Canis lupus familiaris: one gene and its partner. The protein of the gene in region 2 purifies or fractionates together with the protein of the main gene of each other region. This does not show direct contact. Links are inferred from orthologs where the notes say so. Each region holds a gene or a part of one and is shown on either strand. Other genes may lie near its edges.

What was found.
Region 1: the proteins of MED4 (region 2) and CCDC138 purify together in Homo sapiens (affinity purification with mass spectrometry; 3 studies listed by BioGRID and IntAct, with this or other methods). This does not show direct contact. The link is inferred for Canis lupus familiaris from reciprocal best matches to the Homo sapiens genes MED4 and CCDC138.

What each region holds. Positions count from the first base shown.
Region 1 is NC_049231.1:36,137,594-36,145,326, forward strand, and holds the start of CCDC138 (coiled-coil domain-containing protein 138), read right to left. Parts: upstream 4,618-7,733; 5' UTR 4,545-4,617; coding exon 4,452-4,544; intron 4,215-4,451; exon of another isoform or gene 4,185-4,214; coding exon of another isoform or gene 4,092-4,184; intron 3,051-4,091; coding exon 2,993-3,050; intron 1-2,992. Other genes in the region: E3 SUMO-protein ligase RanBP2, read right to left, coding at 7,631-7,733.
Region 2 is NC_049243.1:3,359,545-3,367,403, reverse strand, and holds the start of MED4 (mediator of RNA polymerase II transcription subunit 4), read right to left. Parts: upstream 4,122-7,859; 5' UTR 4,094-4,121; coding exon 3,969-4,093; intron 1,497-3,968; coding exon 1,430-1,496; intron 1-1,429. UniProt on the Homo sapiens protein: Component of the Mediator complex, a coactivator involved in the regulated transcription of nearly all RNA polymerase II-dependent genes.

The DNA of each region.
Region 1 (7,733 bases), on a different chromosome or scaffold from region 2:
GAAAACCATATCTGGGGGCATCACAATGCCAGATTTCAGGTTGTACTACAAAGCTGTGGTCATCAAGACAGTGTGGTACTGGCACAAAAACAGACACATAGATCAGTGGAACAGAATAGAAACCCAGAAGTGGACCCTGAACTTTATGGTCAACTAATATTCGATAAAGGAGGAAAGACTATCCATTGGAAGAAAGACAGTCTCTTCAATAAATGGTGCTGGGAAAATTGGACATCCACATGCAGAAGAATGAAACTAGACCACTCTCTTTCACCATACACAAAGATAAACTCAAAATGGATGAAAGATCTAAATGTGAGACAAGATTCCATCAAAATCGTAGAGAAGAACACACGTAGAGAAGAACACAGGCAACACCCTTTTTGAACTCGGCCACAGTAACTTCTTGCAAGATACATCCACGAAGGCAAAAGAAACAAAAGCAAAAATGAACTACTGAGACTTCATCAAGATAAGAAGCTTTTGCACAGCAAAAGAAACCGTCAACAAAACTCAAAGACAACCTACAAAATGGGAGAAGATATTTGCAAATGACATATCAGATAAAGGGCTAGTTTCCAAGATCTATAAAGAACTTATTCAACTCAACACCAAAGAAACAAACAATCCAATCATGAAATGGGCAAAAGACATGAAGAGGAATCTCACAGAGGAAGACATAGACATGGCCAACATGCATATGAGAAAATGCTCTGCATCACTTGCCATCAGGGAAATACAAATCAAAACCACAATGAGATACCACCTCACACCGGTGAGAATGGGGAAAATTAACAAGGCAGGAAACAACAAATGTTGGAGGGGATGCAGGAGAAAAGGGAACCCTCTTACACTGTTGGTGGGAATGTGAACTGGTGCAGCCACTCTGGAAAACTGTGTGGAGGTTCCTTAAAGAGTTAAAAATAGACCTGCCCTACGACCCAGCAATTGCACTGCTGGGGATTTACCCCAAAGATACAGATGCAATGAAACGCCGGGACACCTGCACCCCGATGTTTATAGCAGCAATGGCCACGATAGCCAAACTGTGGAAGGAGCCTCGGTGTCCAACGAAAGATGAATGGATAAAGAAGATGTGGTTTATGTATACAATGGAATATTACTCAGCTATTAGAAGTGACAAATACCCACCATTTGCTTCAACGTGGATGGAACTGGAGGGTATTATGCTGAGTGAAGTAAGTCAGTCGGAGAAGGACAAACATTATATGTTCTCATTCATTTGGGGAATATAAATAATAGTGAAAGGGAATATAAGGGAAGGGAGAAGAAATGTGTGGGAAATATCAGAAAGGGAGACAGAACGTAAAGACTGCTAACTCTGGGAAACAAACTAGGGGTGGTAGAAGGGGAGGAGGGCGGGGGGTGGGAGTGAATGGGTGACGGGCACTGGGGGTTATTCTGTATGTTAGTAAATTGAACACCAATAAAAAATAAATTTAAAAAAATTTCTCTTAACCTTGCAGGAGCTGGCTCCTATGTATTCTTCAACTTAATAGTTTTCTGTGGGCCATTCAGTTGTTTGATTCTGATTTTGAACCCTCTGCCTATGTCATTTTATAAACATGGATTGTTTGCTATTTTATCAAAAAAAATTTTTTTCTGGAATTATCTGACTTTTTTAAAATTAATTTCATAGGTAGATTTACTGATTCATCAGTTGCATATAACACCCAGGGCTCACGACATCAAGTGCCCTCCTTAATGCCCACCACCGAGTTATCCTATCCCCTACCTACCTACCCTCCAGCAACCCTCAAGTTTGTTTCCTAGAGTTAAGAATCTCTTACGGTTTGACTCCCTCTCAATTTCATCTTATTTTATTTTTCATTCCCTTCCCCTATGTTCGTTCATATGTTTTGTTTCTTAAATTCCACCTATAAGTGAAATCATATGGTATGTCTTTCTCTAACTCATTTATTTCACTGAGCAGCTCTAGTTCTATCCATGTCACTGAAATGTATGCACCTTTTGTCTAACATGCTTTTTCCCATCAGAAATTAAACAAGCTATACTTTTTAGTTATAGTTTAGAATGTTGGAAATTTTAGGACAAATTTCAAAACTAAGATACAATTTAAAAAATGTTTTAAGGGATCCCTGGGTGGCGCAGCGGTTTGGCGCCTGCCTTTGGCCCAGGGCACGATCCTGGAGACCCGGGATCGAATCCCCCACATCGGGCTCCCGGTGCATGGAGCCTGCTTCTCCCTCTGCCTATGTCTCTGCCTCTCTCTTTCTCTCTCTCTCTCTCTCTCTCTGTGACTATCATAAATAAATAAAAGTTAAAAAAAATTTTAAAAATGTTTTAAGATACTAAACTCAGTAATAACTGGGTTTGTTCATACTGAAGGAATGTTTCAGAAGAGTGTTTACAAAATTTCAAAGAGAAATAAACTTGGAAAAAAATGAAATTCCCTAATCTACCATCTCATAAACTTACTGTTTCTGCTGCAATGACCTCAAAATTCAATGATAATACTTACTAGTAAAAACATCACTGAAGAAGTATCAACAAATCAAAAGACTAAAGGTTAATTAGCTATATATGTTAGTTCCAGATTACCATATAATGTTCCAACCGACCCCATTTCACAGTATAATTCTCTTTATCAAGTACATTTGAAAAATTCTTCTGGTGCAACAATTACTACCCCTGTAACTTGGAAAAGTTTGTGCCTTAAAAAAATAGCAATTAGTTTTCTTTCCCCAATATACTGTTTAATTTTTAACATTTTTAAAGGCAAAAATACTGTAACTGAAACACCAAAAAAATTCACTCAATTTGATTTTAGAGATATCATACCTTTACCCCCCCAAATCTTGATGACTATTAGTTCATTACCTGAATGAAAAAAGCCTAGTATCACAAGATATCTGGCACTTAGTGTTAAGCCTAAACATTTTTTTTAATGTTTTTTCTCAAATTAAATTTGTTAAAACCCCCAAATACACAAAATACTCGATCAGCTTACCTGGAGAGATTAGCGATCTTCTCTTCCACCTAGCCTGATCAAAATTTGAAAAATCATACTAAAAAAAATCAAAAAAGACATTTAATTTATATATTAAGAATCAACCTACAATCTCAAAAGAGTTCCCCACAAATTATGTATTAAGTACAAGAATTAATTACAAAAATTAGCATGGACAAATCTAATAGATACTATCTTAATCAAGCGGTCAAAGTTAGTATCACCAATAACAGGACATAGAAATGTTATACCTCCTAGTGAACAAGAGAAACCTACACATCACTCCTGCCAAAAACGCACAAAGTCAGTATCTATGTACAATCCTGAGGTATACGCATCCGAGAAAATCTGACGGAGGGACAGTCCCATATACAGTTGTCCTGTAGTCTTCAAAAATACATCATAAAGACAGAGACTTAGGGACGCCTGGGGGCTCAGCGGTTGAGCGTCCGCCTTCCGCGCAGGGCATGATCCTGGGGTCCCGGGATCGAGTCCCACATGGGGCTCCCTGCATGGAGCCTGCTTCTCCCTCTGCCTGTGTCTCTGCCTCTCCCCTCTCTGTCTCTCATGAATACATAAATAAAATCTCAAAAAAATAAAGACAGAGACTTAGAACCTGAGCCAGAACAAAGGCAACAGGAGAGAACCAAATACAGATGGACTCTATCTGCACCGGGGAAACAAAGTTTACAAAGGACATCAATGAGATAATCGGAAATCTGAATATTAACTCTATGTTAAATATTACTGTGCAAATGGTCAGTTTGTTCAGTTTATTGCTATGGATATGTGAGAATCACCCTATTCCCAGAAAATACACTTAAGAATTTCCATGCGGGGGTGAGGGTGCACAGCGCCTGCAAGTCCCCTCCATCAGTTCAGGGGGAATGTGTGCACGCCACGTCAGAGACGGGAAGAGAAGTAACGCAGATGCGGCAAAGTATGAACGACTGATGAGCCCAAACCAAGGGTTCGGAAGACTTGTTGACAGGATCCTTGCAGCTTAAAGTTGGTAATTACCTCAAAATAGGAAGGTTTTTGGAGGAGTTAAAATTGCTTTTTGAACTCCGCACAAGTCACTGTAATACAAGGGGCCTACCACCACGTCCGGGGCGTCCCACGCCTTCCAGGGTCTGTGCTGGGTGAAGGGCTTTTTCTGACGGAAAATCCGCTTCTCCAGGGTGCGGAGCATGCGCTGCCCCTCCGGCTACCGTTCCTGACCCTGCTGGGGCGGAGCGGAGGGCGGCCCCAGGCTCGGGGCTGTGGCGGAGGGGGAGCGGCGGCCCCAGGGGTCCCATCCCTCCCGGCCCCGGGCTCCGGGCTCCGGTCTCCGGGCTCCGGGCTCCGGGCTCCGGGCTCCGGGCCCCGGGCGCAGCCGCCGGCCGGCCTGCTTGCTTTACCCCTGCACAAACCAGCCCGCGGGCCCGGGGACAGCCCGAGGGGAAGGGCGAGACCTCACCTCGGCCAGGCGGCTGCCCCCTAGTCCGTAGCGGCTTTTGAGTCGCTCCACCACCAAATCCTGCCCGGGGGGCTTCACCAGCCTCGGCTCCATAGCGAGCGGACGCCGCCGTTGTCACCCCGGGAGCAGCGTTCAAACACGGCGGCGGGACGCGCAGGGGCGGAGCTCGCGTCACGGACCTGCGACACGACGCAGCACGCCCCGCCCCCCCGCCTCGGGTGGAGAGCGCCCCGGAGCGCCAGGGGCACCGGGCGGGGGGGCGGGGGGAGCGACCCCAGGAGCGCCGGCACCGCCAGGGCCCAGACCAGGCAGCGAGGCCCTCCGTCTCACCCTCTACGCAGTGTTCAAAACGTCCTCTTCTGACAAGTGTTCTTCCTGCTGAAGGATTTAGTAACTAATTTCTCTACGACTGCGTTCTTTGGACTGATAAACGGCGTCTCACCTTTTGTCTTAAAAAGATTCTACTTCAGTTTTCCTCGGTCATGTCCACAGCAATCGCACCTCTGCAGGTGGCCCCTCTGGGAGGCGCTGGCGGCCTCAGCATCCCGACCCCGCGGGCCGCCGCCGCTTCCCGTCCCCCGTGCGCCCCGCGAGCGTGCAGGAATGAACGTGCACACGCGGTGGTCACCAGCACCGTGCACACCTGACTGCCGGCGACTCCCTCTTCCTCGAACCTAACACATTTAGGGTGCGTTCGGGCATACAAGAACACACCTCATGAATCGGGATGGCCTTTGCTAACTAGAGGCAGAAATCAAGGACGTCTTGTACTCAAAGCACAGAATTCTCAGAGGATGACTCCCTCACTTTCCCTGCCATTGGTCTGGGATTAAAAAGCAGTAGTAGAATGTAAGCTCCCCGTACGAATGTAGTGAACTTAAGAACGAGCATGTACTTTCTTTTTTGAACAGTTTTTCCCAGTACTTAAGAACAATGCCAGGCATTTAGTAGGTGGCTCAATATTTATTGGAACGGTCTATCAACCTAAATCCTTTATCAAACCAAGACTAACTGAAAGGAATAACTGAATCCACTTCATTAATTTATACAATTACATTAGCACGATCCTTTACCTTTCTAAATTATGAGTTCAACGTGTCTGGACTAACAAATCCTAGATTCTCTGGATTATCTTTCAAGTTCTTCAAATGCCAAAGTTTTAGAATATCATGAAGTTATCTGAAAATTATTTTTACCAATATTCTTTCCCATCGAATATTACATGTACAAATACTTTTTTATGCTCTATTTTAAGCAGATTTTTATTGAGACACTATGAAGTTGAGCCAGTTGGGGCAAAAAGTACTTGTCATTGTGGATTTATACTGCATAAGGATCAAATAACAGAGAGAAATCACAAAGTCCTTTCCTGAAATGTCTTTTGTCATTAACGTCCCAAGCCATCTTTTAAGCACCTTGGAATACTAACACTGGAAAACAGTTTACATGTCATTGAATAAAATTTTTGGTTCAAGCATTAGCTTTTAAAGCTCTTTTAATTCATAGTCTTAATGCTTTAGGATAGCATAGAAGATAGTGTAAACTCATTTGTCTAAAAAATATGTAAAGCATAATTCCCTTACTTGGAATTTATTCTAAAATCATGACAAAGCCATCAGCTGTCCCAGCTGAAAAACTATAACACACTATATCAATTTATATTACATAGGTCTCCAAAGAAGCCAATTCTTAATATTAAATGTACACACATGTAGTCCAAGGTTCAGGTAATTTCAAATGGTACACTGCAATAGGTTTATCTGCCTTTGTGGCCAAGTGGGTTCAGTGAGTGTTCCACCACTCATTACTCACACACACCACACATGACATCCTTCTCCTCCTCCGTCGGGTGGTTAAACAGGTATCATATGATAACTGATTTCCAAATCCCCAAACAACAGAATAAACCCCACCATCTTTCACTAAACAAAATGAGATGATTTCACTGGGAAGAACACAGGAGGGTAGAAGGCAGTCATTTTTGGTAATCAGAATACACAATATTTTGTGCTCTAGATTCTTTGTAGGTCTATATTGAGTAGGCTGATTGATATGAGAATACCTCCCCCTCCTGCCCCACCACCTTTTCAGCAGTTTGCCTAACTTTGACAGTAGCCATTTCCAAATAAATCTTCAGTGTGTATGTATCAAATTTGAAGTCACTTTTTTGGGAGCTTTGGAAATTATGTAGCAGTCTGATTTACAGAATTTTTATTGTTCTCCTTACTTTGGCTCTAGAATGAACAAACAACTAGATGCACAAGTAATAAATTTTTTAAATGTCATGGCTGTTAACAATTGTCACTTTATTTTTGCTACAAAATTCACCAGAAAAAGGTACTGCAACAATCTAGTATAAAGCAAATCTTTAACCAAAGAACATGGTATAGACCTTTTTAAAATAGTCATACTTTATCACAATAACTGCAAGGAAAAATTCAAGTTCTATCAGAACCAAGCTGCAGTTTGAGGTAGTAGAAACAGATGACAGAAAAGTTAAAAAACAAAACAAAAAAACTAAGGAAATACTTGTTTAAAATGTAAAAATTAATTTAATACCTCTGAAAGGGCACAGGAACTACAGATCATTTTAAGAAAAGAAGGTATTCTACTTAAAAGTTAATTTAACTATACAGGAGGTTCAAGGATTATAGAAGAGCACTTTGGTTAAGTCTCTACCCTCTGTGGCTCTACCCATTCATAAGTGAGTCTCTATGCATAAATGAGCACACCAATAGTTAATATTACCAAATATATTTCAAATCTAAAATAAAAATTATCCAAGTTGTGGTCCCTTTATTCAAATGGTAAGTTTATCCATGCAGGAAGTCCAATACCTTAAAAGGTAAAATTAAATTGCATATATCATATTCCTTCAAGAGTTTGAGAAGGTCTATTGCTTTTAACAAGATTAGTATTATTCCATTTTAACAGAGATATGTCAGGAGTACATAAACACAAGTACACCTGATTTACACCAGTGTTTAAACTTTTATTTCACACCATGCAAGGTCAATTATAACACATTAAAAAGTGACAACAGCTATAAGCTGCAATTTTACATTTATACATTGGAAACGTCCATTTTCAAAAGCTGAACATAATTACCATATTGTCACAACAGCTAAGCTCAATTCAACTGTTTATACAGATTAAATTTACTATGAAAAACAATGATTTTATATCTGTCCACATTCTGTGATACTAATTCTTCGACTAACAGACCCTTTAGGAGAGCCAAATGATTCAATCTTTTTCACAGTATCCATGCCATCCTTAACA
Region 2 (7,859 bases):
TTAGTACTTTCGTTGAAAATTATACAGGAATTCACAACACTAAGTATAAAGTTTAATTCTTTCCCTGGGTAGTGACGATGACAATTATCCATTACTGAGCTCTCCTTATTTGTACTTAACATGCAGTATCGTAAATCCTCACAACAACTTTATGTGACAAGGTACTGTTATTTTTTAGGGACAGAACTGCTAGTCCTTAAAAAGTATAAGAAAAGTTAGTGCTGACCAGGCAGGTCTTGGTTATGACCTATTGAATAATCTGTGTGCCTGGGAAGTAAAGTCAAAACCTGTATTTCATTTTGTAGTAAGTACTTACTTAATTTTACATGTATTTATCAATAAAGTATCTGAGACTGGCATTCCTCTATTAGCATTTTTCTCTATAAGCTTTTCCTAAAAACAAACAACATACTAAAAACAACTTTAATCTCCCCCAAAGTCCCAGCTTTTACTACTTGTAGCGTATCTAATTCCCCGTCTCCACCTGAAGGGATTAATCGTTGAAGAAAACAAGTTTTATGATACTTCTCTATTATCAGTCAATTGAATTTCTCTGCCCTCAAAACATATCATAAAATAAAACTAAGATAATAATAGGGCAGAGAGGAGGGAGAAGAGATCTATGAGATGTCTCCTGTTACTAAAAAGGTTAATCTTTCCCAGCTGTTTTCTTTTAAAAAAACTTTTTTTTTTTTTTTTTAAATTACAGTAGAAAACACATAAAATGACATTTGCCCTCTTAACTTTAAAAAGTTTTTGGATCATTCCTGGGTGGCTTAGTGGCTGAGTGTCTGCCTTCAGCTCAGGCTGTGATCCCGGGGTCCTGGGATCGAGTCCCACATCGGGCTCCCCACAGAGGACCTACTTCTCCCTCTGCCTGTGTCTCTCATGAGTAAATAAATAATACAAATTAATTAATTTAAAAAAGGTTTTGGATCAGAAAAAAAAATCTGCTCACCGTAGAAAATTACAAAGCACAGAAAGGAATAAAGAAAATAAAAACATGTAAATTTAACCTCCACAAAATAACTTCTGTTAACAGTTGTATGCTCTTTAATTTCTATTACTTCTCAAGTTGCATTAGGGGAACCAGGTCTATATAATAAAAGGTAGTTTATGACAGCATTAACTTTTTTTATTTCAAATATTGTTTTAACCTCCATTTAACAAGTTTATTAGTTGGTTAATTCAAAAGACAAAAACGAATAAATGTGTAACTAGAAGAAAAAACAATACTGCTAAACCTTTAGACTTTTTTCTTCTCAAGCAGTGTTACCCTATGTAAGTGATTCGAAGTATCAATTTAAAAATTGTAATCTATAATTTAACAGAATCCAATCTTCCTGTTCTCACACAAAGTAAATGTAAATAGGGAAATTGCACAAATAATGGGGATTTCTTGTTTGTAATATAAAAAGAAACCACTTACCTGGTTTTCCTCATCAGGCGGCAACAACTTTTGGTTTCTTGAAATTGCCAGCATTTCTATAAGTTCTCTAAAAAAGAAAAACAAAAACATCTTTGCAAAATACAACAGAAGCTTTATTAACTGATCTCTACCTAACTGACTTGCTAGATTCATGGCACCCACAGCATGCTGAGTATTCAGAGCCCCTGCCCAGTGACCGTGCGCTTGGGCTCTCATCAGCTAAGCGGTACTCTCTCACCAAGACTCAGTTATGTCTGTTACCAGATCCAGTTATGCAAGTTTTACTTTACTAGTATAGTTAAATATATTAAATATCCATTTCATAAATACCAACGAAATATGACTGTCAACAGAAAAGAGTAATTTCCATAAAAACCTAAACTGAATACTTGGGAAAGACTCAACAGCTGCCTGCAAAGAACTGCAAAGTCATGAAAATTCAGCAAGTCTACCCTAAGACTGCTTGATAAGCATTTAAGTTTATTTACTTTTTTTTTTTTTAAAGTAATCTCTATGCCCAAGGTGGGGCTCAAATTCACAACCCATAGATCAAGTCGCATACTCTACTGCCTGAGCCAGTCAGGCACCCCTCATTTCACTTTAACGAAACACACTAGAAATTGGTGGACAAGGCATTATGGGTGGTTTATGCAAGAAAACCCCCTAAATTAAGGAGTAGATGAATCATTTTTTAAATGATTTTCTATGTGAACTGAAATTTTTAATTAACCAAACAGGTATCAACTAAGGGATTCTAATGTATAATAAAGTCCTATCTTTCTGGAATGCTTATTTACTAGACATGCCAATTTTCCTTTATGAAAACTAGTATAAAGAGGAGTATAAAATATGTATCAGGTAATATCCTGATACACTAGTTTCAAACTTGCTGACAGATGGGACTCCAGAAATTATGCAAGAGGTACAGATGCACAATTAGCAACAGGACACCACCAGTCAGCCCCAGTAAAGCCTGTACCTTCTCACTGGCCGCCAGACTATTTTCACCTTCATATTTCCATCTTCCTTACTGCCAGCCTCAAACTATTTTTCTGGATGGTGCCAACTGGACCCAACCTTCCCCACTTTGAGGTTCTCATACCATTATGCATGCACTAGCTAGCTAATTAATGAATAAAGTGGATATGGCAATGGAAAGTCTTCATTCACCCACTGATTAAACATTTAAGTTTCCACTGTGTGCCAGGCACTTTCTGGATGCCTAGCTTATGAAAGTGAACAAAGGAATTTAAATTATAATACAGAAGAGAAAAACCAAGAAAGCAGGTAAATCAAACCAGAGTTAGAAGAAGGGCTGGGAAGAAACTGAAGCAGTGTTAGAGTGTGTCAGTGAGTTGTCTGGCCACTCACACTGGTGGAGTCAGGGAGGGCTTCTATAAGTGAGAAAAGCCGGGTTCAGGGGCCCAAAGATGGGTTTGAGGAAGGGTGGCCAGGACACAGCAGTCAGTACCGAGGAGCAGGATACACAATGAGGACGGGTCTGGAGGGCAGGCGGGCCAGGCTGTGTGAGGGCCTCACAGGTCATGGTAAAGAATCAGCATTTCATTCCAGGTACAATGGAAAGCGACTGGATCATTTTAACTTTTTTAAAAAGATTTTTTTATTTTGAGAGAGAAAAAAAAAATGAAGGAGGGGGAGGCAGAGGAAGGAGCGGATTCAGGGCTCAATCCAGGACCCTGCACCCACCTGAGCCCAAGGTGGACGCCCCACTGACTGAGCAACCCAGGCGCCCCACTGATGCATCATTTTAAATGGAAATGACATGACCTGATTTATGTTTTTAAGCAATTGCTAAGCTACCTGGAAAATGGATTTTAAGAGGAGTAGAATGGAAATCAAGTTAAGTGGCTTCTGTAGACAAAGGATGGCATCTGCTTTGACTAGGTCCTAGCCGCTGGGACACAGTCATGGAAATAGGTGACAGCTATCTCTGAGTGCCGGGGTCCGGGGTGTCCCTGCAGGTCACCGAGCGCCCCCCAGGTCCCCCCTCCCCCATCACCGAGTGTCAGGTCCCGGAGTGTCCCTGCAGGTACCGAGCGCCCCCCCAGATCCCCAGTCCCCCCATCTCCGAGTGTCAGGTCCCGGGTGTCCCTGCAGGTACCGAGCGCCCTCCCAGGTCCCCCCTCCCCCCATCTCCCAGTGCCGGGGTCCCGGGGTGTCCCTGCAGGTCACTGAGCGCTCCCCCAGGTCCCCCCTCCCCCATCACCGAGTGTCAGGTCCCGGAGTGTCCCTGCAGGTACCGAGCGCCCCCCCACGTCCCCCCTCCCCCATCTCCCAGTGTCAGGTCCCGGGTGTCCCTGCAGGTCACCGAGCGCCCCCCCAGGTCCCCCCTCCCCCCATCTCCCAGTGTCAGGGTCCCGGGGTCACCGCCGCTATCAAGCGTCCCCCGGGGGCTGTGCGGGGGGAAGAGGCCGCGTCCGGGTCTCGTGGGGCTGCGACCTCGAGGCCACGACCCCGCCGCGGTCTCCGGAGCGCCGCCTCCCCGACTCCAGCCAGGCCGCCCGCCCGACGCCCCTACCTCGACAAGACCTCCAGGTCCTCCAGCGCAGACAGCAGCCGCTCCCGCGTGCTGTTCCCGCCCGCCGCGCCCGCGCCGCCCCCCGGCCGCTCCTTCTCCTTCTCCCCACCCGAGGCCGCCGCCATGCTGCTCGCGGGCCGGAAGCCGGAGACTGCGCAGACCCCGGCGCGCGGAGGCGGGCTCCGGAAGCGGAAGTGAGGGCCACCGAGGCGGGGCGGGGGGGGCGCGGAGCAGAGGCGGGGCCGCAGCGCCCCCTACGTGCCTGGCGGTGCACTGCGGGCGGCGGCGCTGTGCAGCCCTGGGAGCAGGCTCGGGGCGCTCAGGGCTCAAGCACCAATGGGAGGGGTTTTAAGCCTGTCGGGAAATTTGCATAACAACTTACATCTTGTATCAGTTTCTTTTTTCTTTTTTTAGGATTTTATTTACAGAGGGAGAAGCAGGCTGCCTGCAGGGAGCCCGATGTGGGACTCGAACCCGTGACCCGGGGTCACGACCTGGGCCGGAGGCAGGTGCTCCACCGCTGAGCTCCCCAGATGCCCCCTTCTATCAGTTTCTTTGTGAGATGGGCTGGTCTCAGTATTAACCGTCTTTAGTGTGCATCCCTACAGTGCTAGCCCCACCCTCCTGTTTGGCCTCTCCTAGGGGTTGTAAGCACCATAGGACAAGAGCCATCATCTGCCTCTTTTTCTTTATGGTTGTAAAACACACATAACCTAAAACGGACCGTGTTAACCATGGCTAAGTGTAGGGTCAGGGGCCTTAAGCATAGTCATGTGGTTATGCTACTTTCACCATCATCCATTACCTCTTTCCATCTTGCAGAACTGGGACTGTGTCCACTGAACAACAAGTCCCCCTTCCTTCCTGCCCCAGCCCCTGACAGCCACCGTTCTACCCTCTGTCTCCAAATTTTGACTACTCTAGGGACCTCATATAAATGAAATCATACAATATTCGTCTTTTGGGGACTGTGTCATTTGACTTAGTGTAATGTCTCCACTCCCATCCCTGTGTTAGCACGTGTCAGAATTTCCCTCCTTTTTAAGGCCGGACAATATTCCCTAACGTATAGCCATCGCATTGTGCTTATCCATTCATTCATCCGCACACATTGGGGTTGCTTCTACGGCTTCACAATCCATCTTTATAACCATCTATCTCCCAACAAAGTGTTTTGCTCACTGATCAAGATGCCTGTTGGAAGTGAATGAGTAAATATAGCAGGTAAGAGGTAGTGTATGAAAATGGTTTAAATAATCAATACAACACAGATTCCAAATGAAAGCCCAAACTCCGCCTCAACTCACTTTTCCTGGAGAGAGCAATGTAGTTGGAAACTCTCCCTATCAGGAAAACCCAAAGTTGCAACAGTACTGGGGATGCGGGTTCTGTATGGGGCCAAGCTGTGATTTTCAAAGATGAGATGGAGAGATGTCACCTACAGACAACAGCTTGGAGTGTCTCCTTCATTCTGTCATCCTGACCTCTGGCCTGTTCTCTTGGAGGTGCTTAGCCTGCTTCCTGCTGGGTACCCAGACTTGAGGATTTCCTCAGGGACTCATGCGAAAACAAAACAAAACCATTCATAGCAACTGCTATACAATCCAGAATGCTGATTTATTCATTTACAATAAAAAATATTAGTGCCAAGCACAATTTTCCTTGTGGACAAACTTATACAGGAAGACCAATTATCATCAGAATGTGGCTTGGTAAACCTGGATTATAACAAATGAATATAGATTTTTAAAAAAAAAATGCAACCATCAGGATTTTTTTTTTTTTTTTTTTTAACCATCAGGATTTGTATCCACATAGCATACGGATGTTTGTAGTAAAGAGATTGGAATATCTGTGTCCCCAGACCATGCAAGAGACCTGAGGACACCTTTTGTTTTCCAACCATTCCCTACTTCTGCTCTTGGCTAAACCCTTCTCTAAATATGGTCCATTCTCAGACAATGGAATACATTAGATTTAAGCTTCCTAATGACCCTTGTATTCCAAGCATACCTGCCAGCAGCTCTGGTCAGTGATTTCTTAAGTTTCTGAGGGGCTCAACTGTAGTCTGTGTTGGTTTTCTTCTCATAGGTTCATCTTGGGCATGATTCTGGTGCAGGGAGTGGGGAGATCCTATTAGTGTAGCTTCCACATACAATCAGTTAAAACCCTAATCACTTAAAAATGACCAATTATAGGTCCTACTTTGCAGGCATGGAGGGTTAGTAGATGGACAGTATATGTGTCTTGTGAATGCCAGACCTCTTCAGATTCATCACAAAGTCATATGCGTATTGAACGTTGTCCATAGACTGACAAGAAATAACATTTCCTACAGGCATACTCTATGGCAAACTGCAGATTCTGGTGTGATAAAGAAAATACGAATTATTTTATAACTGATAGGAATATCATATATATTTTTAATAGTTAATAAATAACTCAAGGTAACTCCGAATTTAGTAGTTTCCCAATCTATCGATTCAAAAGGGTAAGTACTTCCTTCTTGTGAAATTTTACGTATTTAACATGCCAGACACTGGTCTAAGCACTTAAAAAAAATGAACTCCATGAATTTTCACAACACCTTCTGGAGGTGAGTATTGTTATTATCTCTATGTTACAGATAACGAAGCTGAGGAGGCAGAGGAATTCAGAGACTTGCCCCAAATCATACAGCTGATAAGCGCCAAAGCTGGGATCTGAACAGAGTCTGGCTCCAAGGTCTGTGCTCTTAGCCACTGGTTATTTATCCTGTCTTCTCTCTTAATTTTTTTATTTTTATTTTTTATGAACTTTATTTAATAGTTCACGAAGTGGACAGTCTTCTTTTGCAGAACTACTGTCTCTGTTTTTAAAGAAAGAGATATCTTCATGCATCGAAAAGGGGTTGGGAACCTCTGGTCTAAAATACAAGCACTTTCTAATGCAAAGTTTGGGATTTGGAGTAAAAAGAAGTTTACAAACTTTTGGTAAGAGGTGGAATGGAAGCATACAGCAAGAAACTCCACTGGCCTGTCCCTAAGAGTAAGCAAAATAGGTGGCTACATGTATTATGTGCATTTTAAAATTATTTTTTTATTTTTACCGAGCAACATATGTAAAGATCAAAAAGTGAAATACTGCTCAAAAGCGTAGAAGAAACTATGAAGGATATCCAGCTCCCTACTGGCAGTTACGCTCGACATTCTTCACGGTTTCTCCTATGCTTTCCTTATTATTTATTTATTTATTTATTTATTTATTTATTTATAAAAGATTTTATTTATTTATTCATGAGAGACACAGAGAGGGAGAAGCAGGCTCCAAGCAGGGACCTGACGTGGGACTCGATTCCCGGTCTCCTGGATCACAACCCGGGCTATAGGTGGCACCAAACCCCTGAGCCACCCGGCCTGCCCTGTTTCCCTATTTTAAAGTAATTCGCATACATTCTATATCTTTTTTCCAACTCTTTTAGAAATCTCTTTCCTGTTGCGCTGAATAAGGATTTCATCTCTCTTCCATGCCCCATTCCCCTTCTTCTGTCCTCTCAATGCACAGAACCCAATTTTTTGTTAAATCAATAGTCAATTCTTTCCTTGCTACGCTATTATTTACATATAACTGTGTCAATGTGATTTATTTGAGATGCCTAACAGATATTTCCATAGAGGTTTTGAAATATAAAATGGAAAAGGACGGAAATTTGTCTTGGACATCGAAACACATTGCACTGCTCTGTGCAGACTTTCCAGTTACATATTTATGTGTGTGTGCACCGGGTCAAATATAAATTATATATTTTTACTGTGGATTGAAAAAGTTTGCAAGCATTGGAGCATACGGAGGATGCCAACCCTGCCCCTTAGGAAAACAACTCCTTCCACCAGAAGGGCCTCAAAGGAAGGA